Linked DNA regions of Xenopus tropicalis. The protein of the gene in region 2 interacts with the protein of the main gene of each other region in a biochemical or structural test. Links are inferred from orthologs where the notes say so. Each region holds a gene or a part of one and is shown on either strand. Other genes may lie near its edges.

What was found.
Region 1: the proteins of snap25 (region 2) and stx3 form a complex in vitro, tested with the Homo sapiens proteins (2 studies listed by BioGRID). The link is inferred for Xenopus tropicalis from reciprocal best matches to the Homo sapiens genes SNAP25 and STX3.
Region 3: the proteins of snap25 (region 2) and cplx1 are reported together in a solved structure, tested with the Homo sapiens proteins (2 studies listed by BioGRID, with this or other methods). The link is inferred for Xenopus tropicalis from reciprocal best matches to the Homo sapiens genes SNAP25 and CPLX1.

What each region holds. Positions count from the first base shown.
Region 1 is NC_030683.2:60,545,925-60,549,579, reverse strand, and holds part of stx3 (syntaxin-3), read left to right. Parts: intron 1-1,407; coding exon 1,408-1,475; intron 1,476-2,636; coding exon 2,637-2,745; intron 2,746-3,655. UniProt on the Homo sapiens protein: Potentially involved in docking of synaptic vesicles at presynaptic active zones. Apical receptor involved in membrane fusion of apical vesicles.
Region 2 is NC_030681.2:26,715,447-26,719,101, reverse strand, and holds part of snap25 (synaptosomal-associated protein 25), read right to left. Parts: intron 1,066-3,655; coding exon of another isoform or gene 948-1,065; intron 814-947; coding exon 696-813; intron 1-695.
Region 3 is NC_030677.2:110,343,453-110,347,903, forward strand, and holds the start of cplx1 (complexin-1), read left to right. Parts: upstream 1-1,530; 5' UTR 1,531-1,576; intron 1,577-3,213; 5' UTR 3,214-3,293; coding exon 3,294-3,324; intron 3,325-4,451. UniProt on the Homo sapiens protein: Positively regulates a late step in exocytosis of various cytoplasmic vesicles, such as synaptic vesicles and other secretory vesicles.

The DNA.
Region 1 (3,655 bases), on a different chromosome or scaffold from region 2:
AGTCGTAATGATATAGGTCTTTACAGTTGTCACAGTACCTTCCTATCTTGGATTCTGATAGAACTGTCCGGGACAGTTCTGCCCCACTTCTTTAGTTAGGTTTTAGTTCTCCTTTAATGGTGCTCATACCACAGGTAATATCTCAGATAAAATTACCTTGGAGGTCCTCGCCCTCAATTTTTATTTTTTTTAAACATTTTATTGAAGTTTTGCAATAAACATATAGGATGAATAATGACAAATTATTTAAATATAGGTTGTACAACAATAGTCACATTCGACAGTTTGTCCTTCAAAAAGATAAGAATGAAGAAAATAGAATGCTTACAGAGAAACAAAATAAGTAATTTAAATATAGAAAAACAAAACAAAAACAAATTAACTTACTTTGCCCAGTGGATAAACTAAAAAAAGAAACAAAAAGTTTCCTAGAGAGCAAAATCAAGGATAATTTTGCTTATATGTTCGTGAATTATTGAAATAAATCTATATATGCAGCATTTTATAAATCTGATCTTTATTCACCCTCAATTTTTTTCACTTAGTTTTTTAAAATCTTCTTGAGGTCCTCTCTCCTCCTCTAACTATGTAATTGGTACCTAGGTGTACCATGTGTACCATGACCACTGGGTCTTTCCCAGCCCCCACAATAATTTGTTTACTCATTCTACCACATGTCGAACCTTAGCACCAGGCAAGCAGCAGACAGTTCAGCAAATATCATCTATATACAAAATTGTTCTTGAGGACCTCCCCCCTGCTCTAACTATGTAATTGGTATCTATGTATACCATGACCACTGGGTCTTTCCCAGCCCCTCACAATAATCTGTTTACTCTTTCTACCACATGTCGAACCTTAGCACCAGGCAAGCAGCAGACTGTTCAGCAAATATCATCTATACACAAAATTGTCCTTGAGGTCCTCCCCCCTCCACTAACTATGTAATTGGTACCTATGTGTACCATGACCACTGGGTCTTTTCCAGCCCCTCACAATAATCTGTCTACTCGTTCCACCACATGCTGAACCTTAGAAGCAGGCAAGCAGCAGACAGTTCGGCAAATAAACAATTCCATGCAACAGAAAAACATTGCAAGTGGTTTTATGTAGAGAAGGAGTCATGCAAAAAAAAGGGAGATAATCTGAGAAAAAAATAAGGGACATTTAATCAGGAATGTATAAGCATACACAGGGTTTGAGGCCCTTATGTGTCAAGTGGTGTTTCTAAAGACTGAGCTCTACTATATTTAAATATTAAATCATTTCTTATACATAATGAAAAAATACTGATGCACATCAGGACCTTTTTTAGGTTTTGTCCTCACCAGGGACTTACACACACATATATATATATATATATATATTTATTTTTTTTACAAAATGTTCTCTTACCTCCAATTTCAGCAATGGAACAATCCATTGAACAGGATGATATGCAGTCCTCAACAGACCTTCGAATACGAAAATCTCAGGTTGGATATAACTTTGTTTGGCATAGATTATTCAAACTACAGAACTGAGGATAGATACATGGCTTTATGTTATTGTGTAAACAGGAGTTTATTGCATAGTACAGGATAATGGAATTATAATCTTTACATATGCACATGGTCTAACTAATCCATAGCAACTAATTATATCTTTGCTTTTAAACATATGTAAATATTACCTTATTATATGCTTCTATGAGTTATCACAACTTTGAAACTTTTATAACATTTTGCCTTACAAGTACATACGTAGGCACATTTCTTTGTTGCTGAGGTGCAATCCCCTGAGCTGTGTTTATCGAAAGATGAATATTGCATTAAAGGGGCTGTTAACATTTAGATTGACTTTTAGGGGCTGATTTACTAACCCACGAATCCGACCCGAATTGGAAAAGTTCCGACTTGAAAACGAATATTTTGCGACTTTTTCGTATGTTTTGCGATTTTTTCGGATTCTGTACGAATTTTTCGGATCCATTACGATTTTTGCGTAAAAACGCGAGTTTTTCGTATCCATTACGAAAGTTGCGTAAAAAGTTGCGCATTTTGCGTAGCGTTAAAACTTACGCGAAAAGTTGCGCATTTTTCGTAGCGTTAAAACTTAACGCTACGAAAAATGCGCAACTTTTCGCGTAAGTTTTAACGCTACGCAAATTGCGCAACTTTTTACGCAACTTTCGTAATGGATAGGAAAACTCACGTTTTTACGCAAAAATCGTATTGGATCCGAAAAATTCGTAAAGAATCCGCAAAACATACGAAAAAATCGCAAAGTACCGATCATTACGAAAAAAACGCAATCGGACTCCATTCGACCCGTTCGTGGGTAAGTAAATCAGCCCCTTAGTGTGAAATTTGCAATTGGTCTTCATTTATTATTTCCTGTTTCAGCAGCTCTCCAGTTTGAAATTTCAGCAGCTATCTGGTTGCTTGGGTCCAATTTAACCTTGCAACCAGGCAGTGGTTTGAAAGAAGTATATCAATAGAGAAGGGGCTAAATAGAAAGATGAGAAATAAAAAGAAAGAAATAAAAAGAAGTAGTATTGCATAAAATTCTCAGCTATAAAATGAAATTGCAAAATGCTAGGTTGAAATCTATTTTTACGAAAGAAAAATGTAATGGAGGGTGTCCTTTTTCTACAGCATTCTGTTTTGTCTCGGAAATTTGTGGATGTTATGACTAAATACAATGAAGCTCAGGTGGATTTCAGAGAGAGAAGCAAAGGAAGAATACAACGACAGCTAGAAATTAGTGAGTTGCCATTCTTATACTATGTAATTTTATATAACGCAAATAAGGTAACATCATTTCAAAATATGAGAGTCTTCTTGGGGTTAAAAGTAGTTTGCTGCTGGATTTGCTGCAAAATTCTATATTTTGCTATCGGCAATCTTTTTTTGCGAAACGGGAGCAAAAATTCACTGCACAAAAAAAAGGAAAAAGTCACGGTTGTGGCAAAAAATTGAGCTTGCATCAAATAAATCATGGTTGCGTCAAATAAATCGCGATCGCCTCAAAAAGTTGGGAGGTAAAAGTAACCACATTTCGCAAATTTTTCACTGTTTCTCGAATTTTTCTGCAGTTTTGTGAATTTTTCAGCCAAGCAAAAGGGAACAGATTCGCTCATCCTAGTCATAAGGGGGAAGACTGTAAAGTTAGGTATTAGTGCAATGTGTTTGCTTCACATAGGCTTGAAGGAACAGTAACACCAAAAAATTAAAGTGTATAAAAGAAATTCCAATATAATGTACTGCTGCCCTGCATTGGTACAACTGGTGTGTTTGCCTAAAGAATGCCGCTGTGTAGTCATGGGGGCAGCCATTCAAAGGAGAAAAGGCACAGGCACTTAGCAGATAACAGATAAAACACTATTGTATTCTACAGAGCTTATCTGTTATCTGCTATGTAACCTGTGCCTTTTCTCCCTTTTCCAGCCTGAATGGCTGCCCCCGGGGCTACACACCAGCTTTTTATATATGAACTATAGTAGAGTTACTGTAGCAAACACACAACTTTTACCAGTGCAGGGCAACAGTACATTATATTTCATTTACTTTAAAACCCTTTAATTTTTTTGGTGTTACTGTTCCTTTAACAGAATAAAGAGATGAATGGTGGTAAAGTACCTGGTAAGTCCAAAGCACACTTTCTTATCCCCTTT
Region 2 (3,655 bases):
AGAAAGAAAAGCTATTGATAAAATATATTTTTAAAAAGGGAAAAGGGCAATGCATGCATTTACTAGGGGTGCTATAAAAACATACTTGAAATCAAAGTGTGCATTACAATAAAGTCTATTCATTGTCCAAAGTTTATTTTTATGGTATTTGGACTGAATATGCTATTCATTAAAAGCAAACCAATTATAATGTAATTAGGAAAAGTCCAAAACAGCTTTGAGAGTTGCTGTCATGCAAGGACTATAGAATGATCACATTTCAACATTTCCATTAGTGCACTATGTCAACAAATATACCTATGCATTAAACTGAAAAATATTGTGACAAAATAAAGGTAAAGGATACAAATTTGTTAAAGAACAAGGTTTCGGATAATCCAAATATAATTTTTTTTGCATTTTGCTTTACATCTATTCCATAGATAGAATGAAATATAGATAATTTGTACACCAGTTTAAGAAATGTTGAAATTTGTGTAGGTCATTAGGAGGGAGCTATGCAACTCTCACTGCAGTATGCCTGATTTTAATATGTCTAGTCCTCGTCGAGTTGCATATTCTATGAGATGAATGCATAACTACTGATCTCTCTGCATGCCACATGCTCATCCTGCCCATGTGCCTAGCAGGGATGATCTTTGCAAGGCAAGAATATCAGCCTTGGGTGCTCAAAGACTTAGGCAGGCAGCACCTACTTGTTACATGGACAGACACAAAGACCACAGAATTTTCCTAGGTCCGTCAAATTCTTTTCTGCTTCTTTCATGTCCTTATTGATTTGTTCCATTCCCTCCTCGATGCGTTCCAGTTGTTCTGATTAAATACAAGCATTATATCCCCACAGAATGAAGCAGATGGAAAAGGACAAAGAAGAAAGACAAAAACTTCAGACATTCACTGTGACAAAAACTGGACACCACAGAGCAGAGTGGGTACCCAGTACCTACTTGTTACAAGGACATATGAAAAGGCCACAGCATTTCCCTAAATCTTTTAAATTTTTCTCAGCCTCCTTCATGTCTTGGTTGATATGGTTCATGCCTTCTTCAACACGATCAAGTTGTTCTGGTCAGGACAAAGGGATGACAGTGTGGAATGAATTTAAATTTGTCTTCAACAGAACATGATAAAGGACTATGTTTAACGGAACTGTAACGGTATCTCAATGCATTACTGGGAATGATGCATTGCTGTTCAAGAAGATGTAGATCTGGGATGCCTTTAAATGGGAAAAAATGTTTCGAAAAGAACAAAATCTGGGAGGGAGGCGAAAATATGATCTGTGGTGGCTTTCAAGGAGTTCCTTTAACATGGAGGGATGATGTATGGATAGTCTGCTTTCTGGCTAAAGGCTAAAAACAATTATAATGACAAACACATTTAACAACATCTACATAAAGAACTGCCCATGGATTGATTTTTTTTTAAAAAAAAGCATTAATTTCCTAGAAGAGAAATCAAGTAGTTAGTTGTTTTTATTAATACGCTGGAAAGGTTATTATCGTAACTTGAGGCTTCATGTTGATTTTATAAGTCATTACCAACATAAAGATTATATCGACACTGGTATCTTGTTGTAACAATGCTTTCAGTGTCGGACTGAGACCCCAGGGGCCCAGCAGAAAACCTTGGACCATAGGCCCACTTTCTAAACTACCATTCCTCCTCTCCCCCCTCACCTTTATTGTCCAAGTCTCTTTTCTCTATCCTTCTCTGTTTCCCATACAGAAATATGGAATGGACCATGCAATTGGTCAAACAGTTAGAAGCAAGAGAGCCCACTGACACCTGGGCCCACCAGGAGTTTTCCTGGTATCCTGGTGGGGCAATCTGTCAACTCGGACAGATCAAAAGAGCAAACAAAGATCTTGTTATAACCTAAACCTAAATGAGTTCCCTTTACCTTCTTATACCTTTATTATACAGTTCCTATAATATGATTAGTGGGTTATGGTGAAGTTATAGATCTCCATAGTATCACTAGGACACTGCCCATGGATAGATACTATTAGTGGGTCTTGATTCTCTGTAACTTCTCTATTAATTATGCAATAAAAACAAAATCAATTCATTCTGTGATGTTAATTGCTATTTAAATGAATCTTCACATTGTTTTAAATTAAAGAGAAAAGCAAAAGGCCAATAGTCTATGAATCTTTCAAAAATGTCTTTCTGTACCCATTTAAAGGGTAGCTTGAAGGAAAATGTGAAGATTATAGGACAAAATAGCACTTCACCTTACCATATTTATATTTCATTAAAATGGAAAATAGATTGTTATGAAATGTAAGGCCATTCTAGAGTATGCAATACAGTTTTGGACTCCAGTATAAAAAAGGACATTATAGGACTAAAGAGAGTACAGAGATGGGCAACAATATAAATATAATAGGGGATCTCAGTTGTGACGAAAGGTTGGCCAAGTTGGGATTGTTTACATTGTAGAAGAAAAGATTAAAGGAAAAGGAAAGCAACCCCTCCACATTATGATCTTCTTTGCTAAGTTATGGAAGGTGTGTATGTACAATAGAGTGTAAAGCTGAACTTGCTTTTTGACTGCACATGTGTCAGCCTGGGGCAACAGAAGAATAAAGAAGCGGAAGAAGAAGATCACTAAATACAGAAGTACCCCAGGCCGGTGCAGTTTTATGCTAACAGGAGTATTGCCCCAGGGGTATTAGGTAAGCTTTTATAATCACTGGGGGTGTTTAACATTTGGTCCTCCCTCCCAGTGAGTTTAACATTACTAGTCCTTTAAGGAGGATATCTGCTTCCCTTTTCATTAGAAGAATGTGGCTTTTGTCACGCAATGTTTCCCATTTCCAGAGAGAATGCACAACTAATCCAAAGCAATATGTCCGGATAAGATTGGCTGCCTATTTTTGTGAAAAATATACCGTATCAAGACTGAAGAGGGAATTTGTTCACCTTCTGATGCTAAATGATCATATCATCAGAGGATTTTTTCCCTCAGAGTTGGCCAACAGGTTGAACTTGATGGACATGTATCTTTTTTATTCTGAGCTGCTACGTATAATAACTATATAACTAGGACTTTAACAACCCCAATGGCATTAAAAATAAGAGAATGACAGATGCTAAGTTGAATTTTAGCACAAATGTATGCAAGGCATGTTCAGAAAGACTGCATTAGAAATAGCAGAAACATCAAATGACAAAAACCACACATGCCCTAAATACGTCACTTAAAATAGGACCAAAGTATTGCTCAGCAGCCAGCACTGCCATTTTACGAGCCATGAAATTAAATGACAAATTCAAAATAGGTTATCTAATTCTGGTAAATAATTATAAAGGACTGCAACGAAGCATAAAATCGGTAAATGCTGACAAGCAACAGCAAAAGTAGCAGTTAGGGCTCATTTTAAAAGCACAGCACATATGTCTGGGGATATTCGCCTGCAGCTTTAAATATAGAACATCTGCTTCCATTTATCTGGGTTTCAGTGCAATTTTTCAGCTCTTGTCCAAGATCTGCTAATGTTAAATACAGGAAGGTGTCAAAGCCAAAACTTCTAAAGGTACGAAGGCAATTCTGGCAAATAATTATTTCTGTCATTTATAATCCAAATACTCCAAAACTAAACACAAATATTCTATATTTAGTTGAAATAAAGTAAAAAGTAGTCTCCAA
Region 3 (4,451 bases), on a different chromosome or scaffold from region 2:
AGGAAGAAGAGGGGGCCAGACAATCAAAGGGTCTGCCTTATGGTCACCTGACTGCTACTTGTTGTCCACCAGAAATGAGTGAGAGGGGATACTGACTGGGGCAGCTGATTATGCCCCAGGGGAAAACAGGAGGGGCAGAAGGGCTAAGAGCGGTGGAGTGGGAGTCCGGACAATGTTTCTTGCCAACCGGGGGCTGGCCCAATAAAGTTATACCGCTGGGAAAAAAGGGGCTCATGTATTAATACTCTCTTCTATGACTTTATAGCCTCCGACACTCACTCCCAAGCCTGTGTGTCTGAATGCAAGCTATTGGGGCAATACAAAGGGTGCCCATCTGCCACCCACCACCTGCAGCCAGTCAATAAAGCTCTTCAAGAAGGTGCAATTAACAAAAAACCCGGAGATTTTTACCCCTTTTTTGCTTTGTCCCAAGGTACAAAAGTAAGCCCTATGGTCTAGTACCATTGTTACTGTATAATGTTAAGAATATAAGCTCTTAACAGTACATTTTTTTTAAAAGCCCTGATTATCTTTAGTCCCAGAGCTTTGAATGCTACCAAACCACAGAACACAGATTTTGTCCTTCCTTCTCCTCTATCCTTCCTACACATATACTGTACAGTAAATACAGCCTCTGGTTTCCATTTATAAGAAATGCTCTGAGCATGTCTTTACTGGAAATTCAGTTCACTACAATATGTGTGTCCTGTCCTTGCAGTCTTATTTAAAGATGTACAATTTAATAATTAGCGTTGCCAAATCCAATCAGTCAAATTACAGCTGGGTATCCTGGGACCTGTAGTTCACTATAACTGGGGAACTGGCAGAGCCACTATGCATATTTACTTAGCATTTAAAGATCAGTTTTATATAGAATACATTCGTGAGTATGTGTCTGAGCAGCCATTTAGCTCTATTTTCTTTTCTTTTCAACTCAAAGTACTTTACCTGAGATAGCCTAGCATCACAGAGCTTTTGAAAAATTCTGACCTATTATGTATTTAGGACGATGGCTGTGAAAATGTTTGACTCAGAAAGCAGGAACTGGAGTAGCTCAATAGGGCATACAGTATAAATGCATTACAGTAACCTAGACAGCATCTCTCCTTTGCTTTCATGAATTAGGACCCTGCAGCTCTGCCTGCTAGCCCACAGCCACAAACCCCGCCCAAAAGGCTGTCTGGATACAGAATTTGTCAGTGATAAAAGAGGATGTAGGAAGAAAAAAAAAAAACAAGGTTATACATCCATCTCCTTTTATCTGTCCCTTTAATGGCTACGTGCTTTTTCCCTTTTGCTCCATGTTCTTTTAGCATTCCCATTCGTCTGTCCATGACATGTCTGTCTGCTAATAAGAGAACACAGTGTAAGTTGGTGAAGCAGACTCTTCCCTAAATGCCCTTCAGCAGAGGCTGCAGTTCCTGTTGAGAGCACACATGGACCAGGGGAGGAGGAGACTGTGCTGTAGAAAAAAAATGATACGTTAGGGAAAGGGGGGAGCTTTTCCTTCCATGGTGCAGAGTTGGTACTGAAAGAAGCAGGCAAACTGCAGGATCTCCTTTCTGCTCAAGAGAAGGTACAGGACTGTTATTCTCTATTTATATATAGACCGTTACTGCTAATGTGCTGCCTGCTCTTACACTAAAGCATGTGAGCAGGAGCTGTCCCGGCTTCCCTAGTGCTGAATGTGGCTTTCTTGCCTTCCTTATGAATCAGGAAATTCCCTACAATTTTTTTTTATTTACATCATGCTATTATATGTTGAAAAATATATAACACGGGCTTTGTGTTGCTTCTGGTATTGATGTTTCATGTCACTGCTTTTTCCTTGCTTGCATGGTTTTTTTTTTTTCTTTTATGCTGACACATTTATTTTTTTTTTTCAGAGCACTGTACTGTAGTAGCCCATTGCAGCATGTGTTGTCTTGAAACACTGCCTTTAGATAGATTGTATAGCAGCATGTCTGAGCACTACGCTCTGCACCTACAGTAGGAAGTAGCAGACATGCCACTGAGACAGGACAGTGACTTATGGAAGTTTTATATATTACTGTTGTGAATTCATGATTTGAATGGGAAATGTTGTAGTGGAGTATACAGGCATGGTCAGGGCTGTCCTCTGCTTCACAGAAAATCTTTGAATAACTTTTGTAAATCAAGCAGACATCCATAGTGAACTATGAGCACATATTAAAGCTTACCTTAAATACTGGGGTTTCTTATTGTGATGTTATAGATTATAATTTGCCAGGCTTATGTGTACCAGCAGAGGGAGGTATCAAACTGTGGTAGGTTTAGAAATGACATTTCTTATCACCTGCAGTGCAGGAGTAAGGATACACTAGGATGTCATTTGTTGCAGCCCACTAGATGCAGTGGGGTGGAACATTCTGCTGCAAAAGATATTTTTCCATCTTCTTCAGTCTTAATTTAGCAAATTAACTATAACAACAAATGCCTGTGAAGTAATAGTTATAGTCGCTAACATTTTTCCCTATTGGACTAAACTATGAGAACAGTTCTACAGTGTGCTGCATTGTGGAGTTATGTATAACCTCATGTGTAAATATATGAAATATGATTTCACATCATTTTTAAACTATGCCTAAAGCAAGAAGTTAAAAAAGGAAGTTTTTCTGATGCATGTTTATTTTCCCCTGCATTCATGTAGGACAGTACTGCACGCAGCTAAGAAACTTGACTAGTACACCTCACCTTCAAACGTCCCTTCAGACATTCAGACATTATTATTCTGGCTGGCACAGCAAAGGAGTCAAGCCGATTTCATTATTGAAATGGGTGTGTTAAGGATGTTTTAAGACACAAAAGGGGATGTTACGTGTTATAAAGGTGTTTTGATGAACGTGTATTTTATTGCTTAGCTTCTTCTCTCTCTGTTAATCACTTAGTGCTGAGTCTATTTTGTCCTAAAAGTTTAACAGAGCATCATTCATAAAGCTGATTTTTTACCAGTGCATAATATGACCTCAGTTTGAAGGTCAGCATAATCTCTATTAGTTCTTTTCTTTCCTATATGAGCCTTAAAGCAGAATTATTTGCTTTCATAGCAAAGCTTTCTGTTTACTTGGATCATCACAGGAGGAATCTCAGATTATTGCAATGTTTACAGCAGCCTTCCTATCTGATACTGCAAATCTGACAGTCAGTTTTATTTACATATAATATTTACCATATTTAATATGTTTGTTATAGGATAGAATTCAAGAGTTCCCTGCTTATCTTGCATGTAATATACTAAATAAGCTGAGTGGAAGGAATCAAAAGCCATCAATATGGATTTTGTTATGAAGCAAGCTTTGGGAGGTAAGTCCAGTCATCTGATGTTCATAATGTTAAGTGTTTGTATGTGATTCCTAAATACAATGCGTCAATTGGATGTGCTCCTCCCTTTTTCTTCTATACCACTGCACCACCATGGAAACCCCCCCAGTGTGGGTGTCTAGGTCAAAAGCAAAGAGTTGATGAGGTGAATGTAATTAAGAAATTATATGCCCAAAACACAATTAAATGGTGGAAATGGGAAATAAATAAGCTTACATTTTTGTTTATGTTGTTTCAGTATACAGACCTTTTCATTTTGTATATACACATTTCATATTATTCTTATGTATATTACTGTTATTGAGACAGTGTTAAAGTCACTCATGTTTCATTAGTGTGTCTATACAGCAATAAGTGGTGCAGTTGTTGGTAAGAAGGAACACTGCATGATGAATAGAAAACAAACAGGATAACTCTCATTAATAGTAAAGAGGTCAGGTTACAGTATATTAAAGTTGTTATAATGTAATAGTTTTATTGCATGTATGAAATCATTAATTTGAATAGAAATGTCTGGGTGCATGCCAAATGCAATATTACTTTAAAGCCTGTTAATATCCATGTTTAAGGTGCCTGTCAAACGTTTAATTGAGTTATACCTTGATGTGTTTTGATGTAACAGTGGATATGACATTCTACGGGCAAGTGTCTGTCAAACACAGATTTTTCCAGTAAAGAAATATATGAGGCCATCATTGTGCTATATAGGTAGTTTATAATTTGGGAAATTGTGTATTTGCTATTCCACTGGGGTAATTAGTACCTACATGTCTGCCAGGATCACCAGCACATTCCTGGGCAAATTGTTTTAGCATCTGCAAGAGTGGAACTGATTTTTCCACGTCTAGTTCAGTGCACAGGGTACTCTTGTGCATTGCAGCTTTTTGCATATATCAAACAGTGTTTTGCATGGATCTTTTAAAGCAGCTATGATAAATGAACTGATAGGGATCTGCTGACTGCAGGGGAAAAAAGAAAAAAAAAACATTCATGTAGGACCTGCAAGAGGAATGAATAGATTACACAGACTTTAGATAAAACCATTTGTCATGCCCTTCACCTAGAACACTGCTATATCAATAAAGAAAATGATTAAAACTCAGTGAACT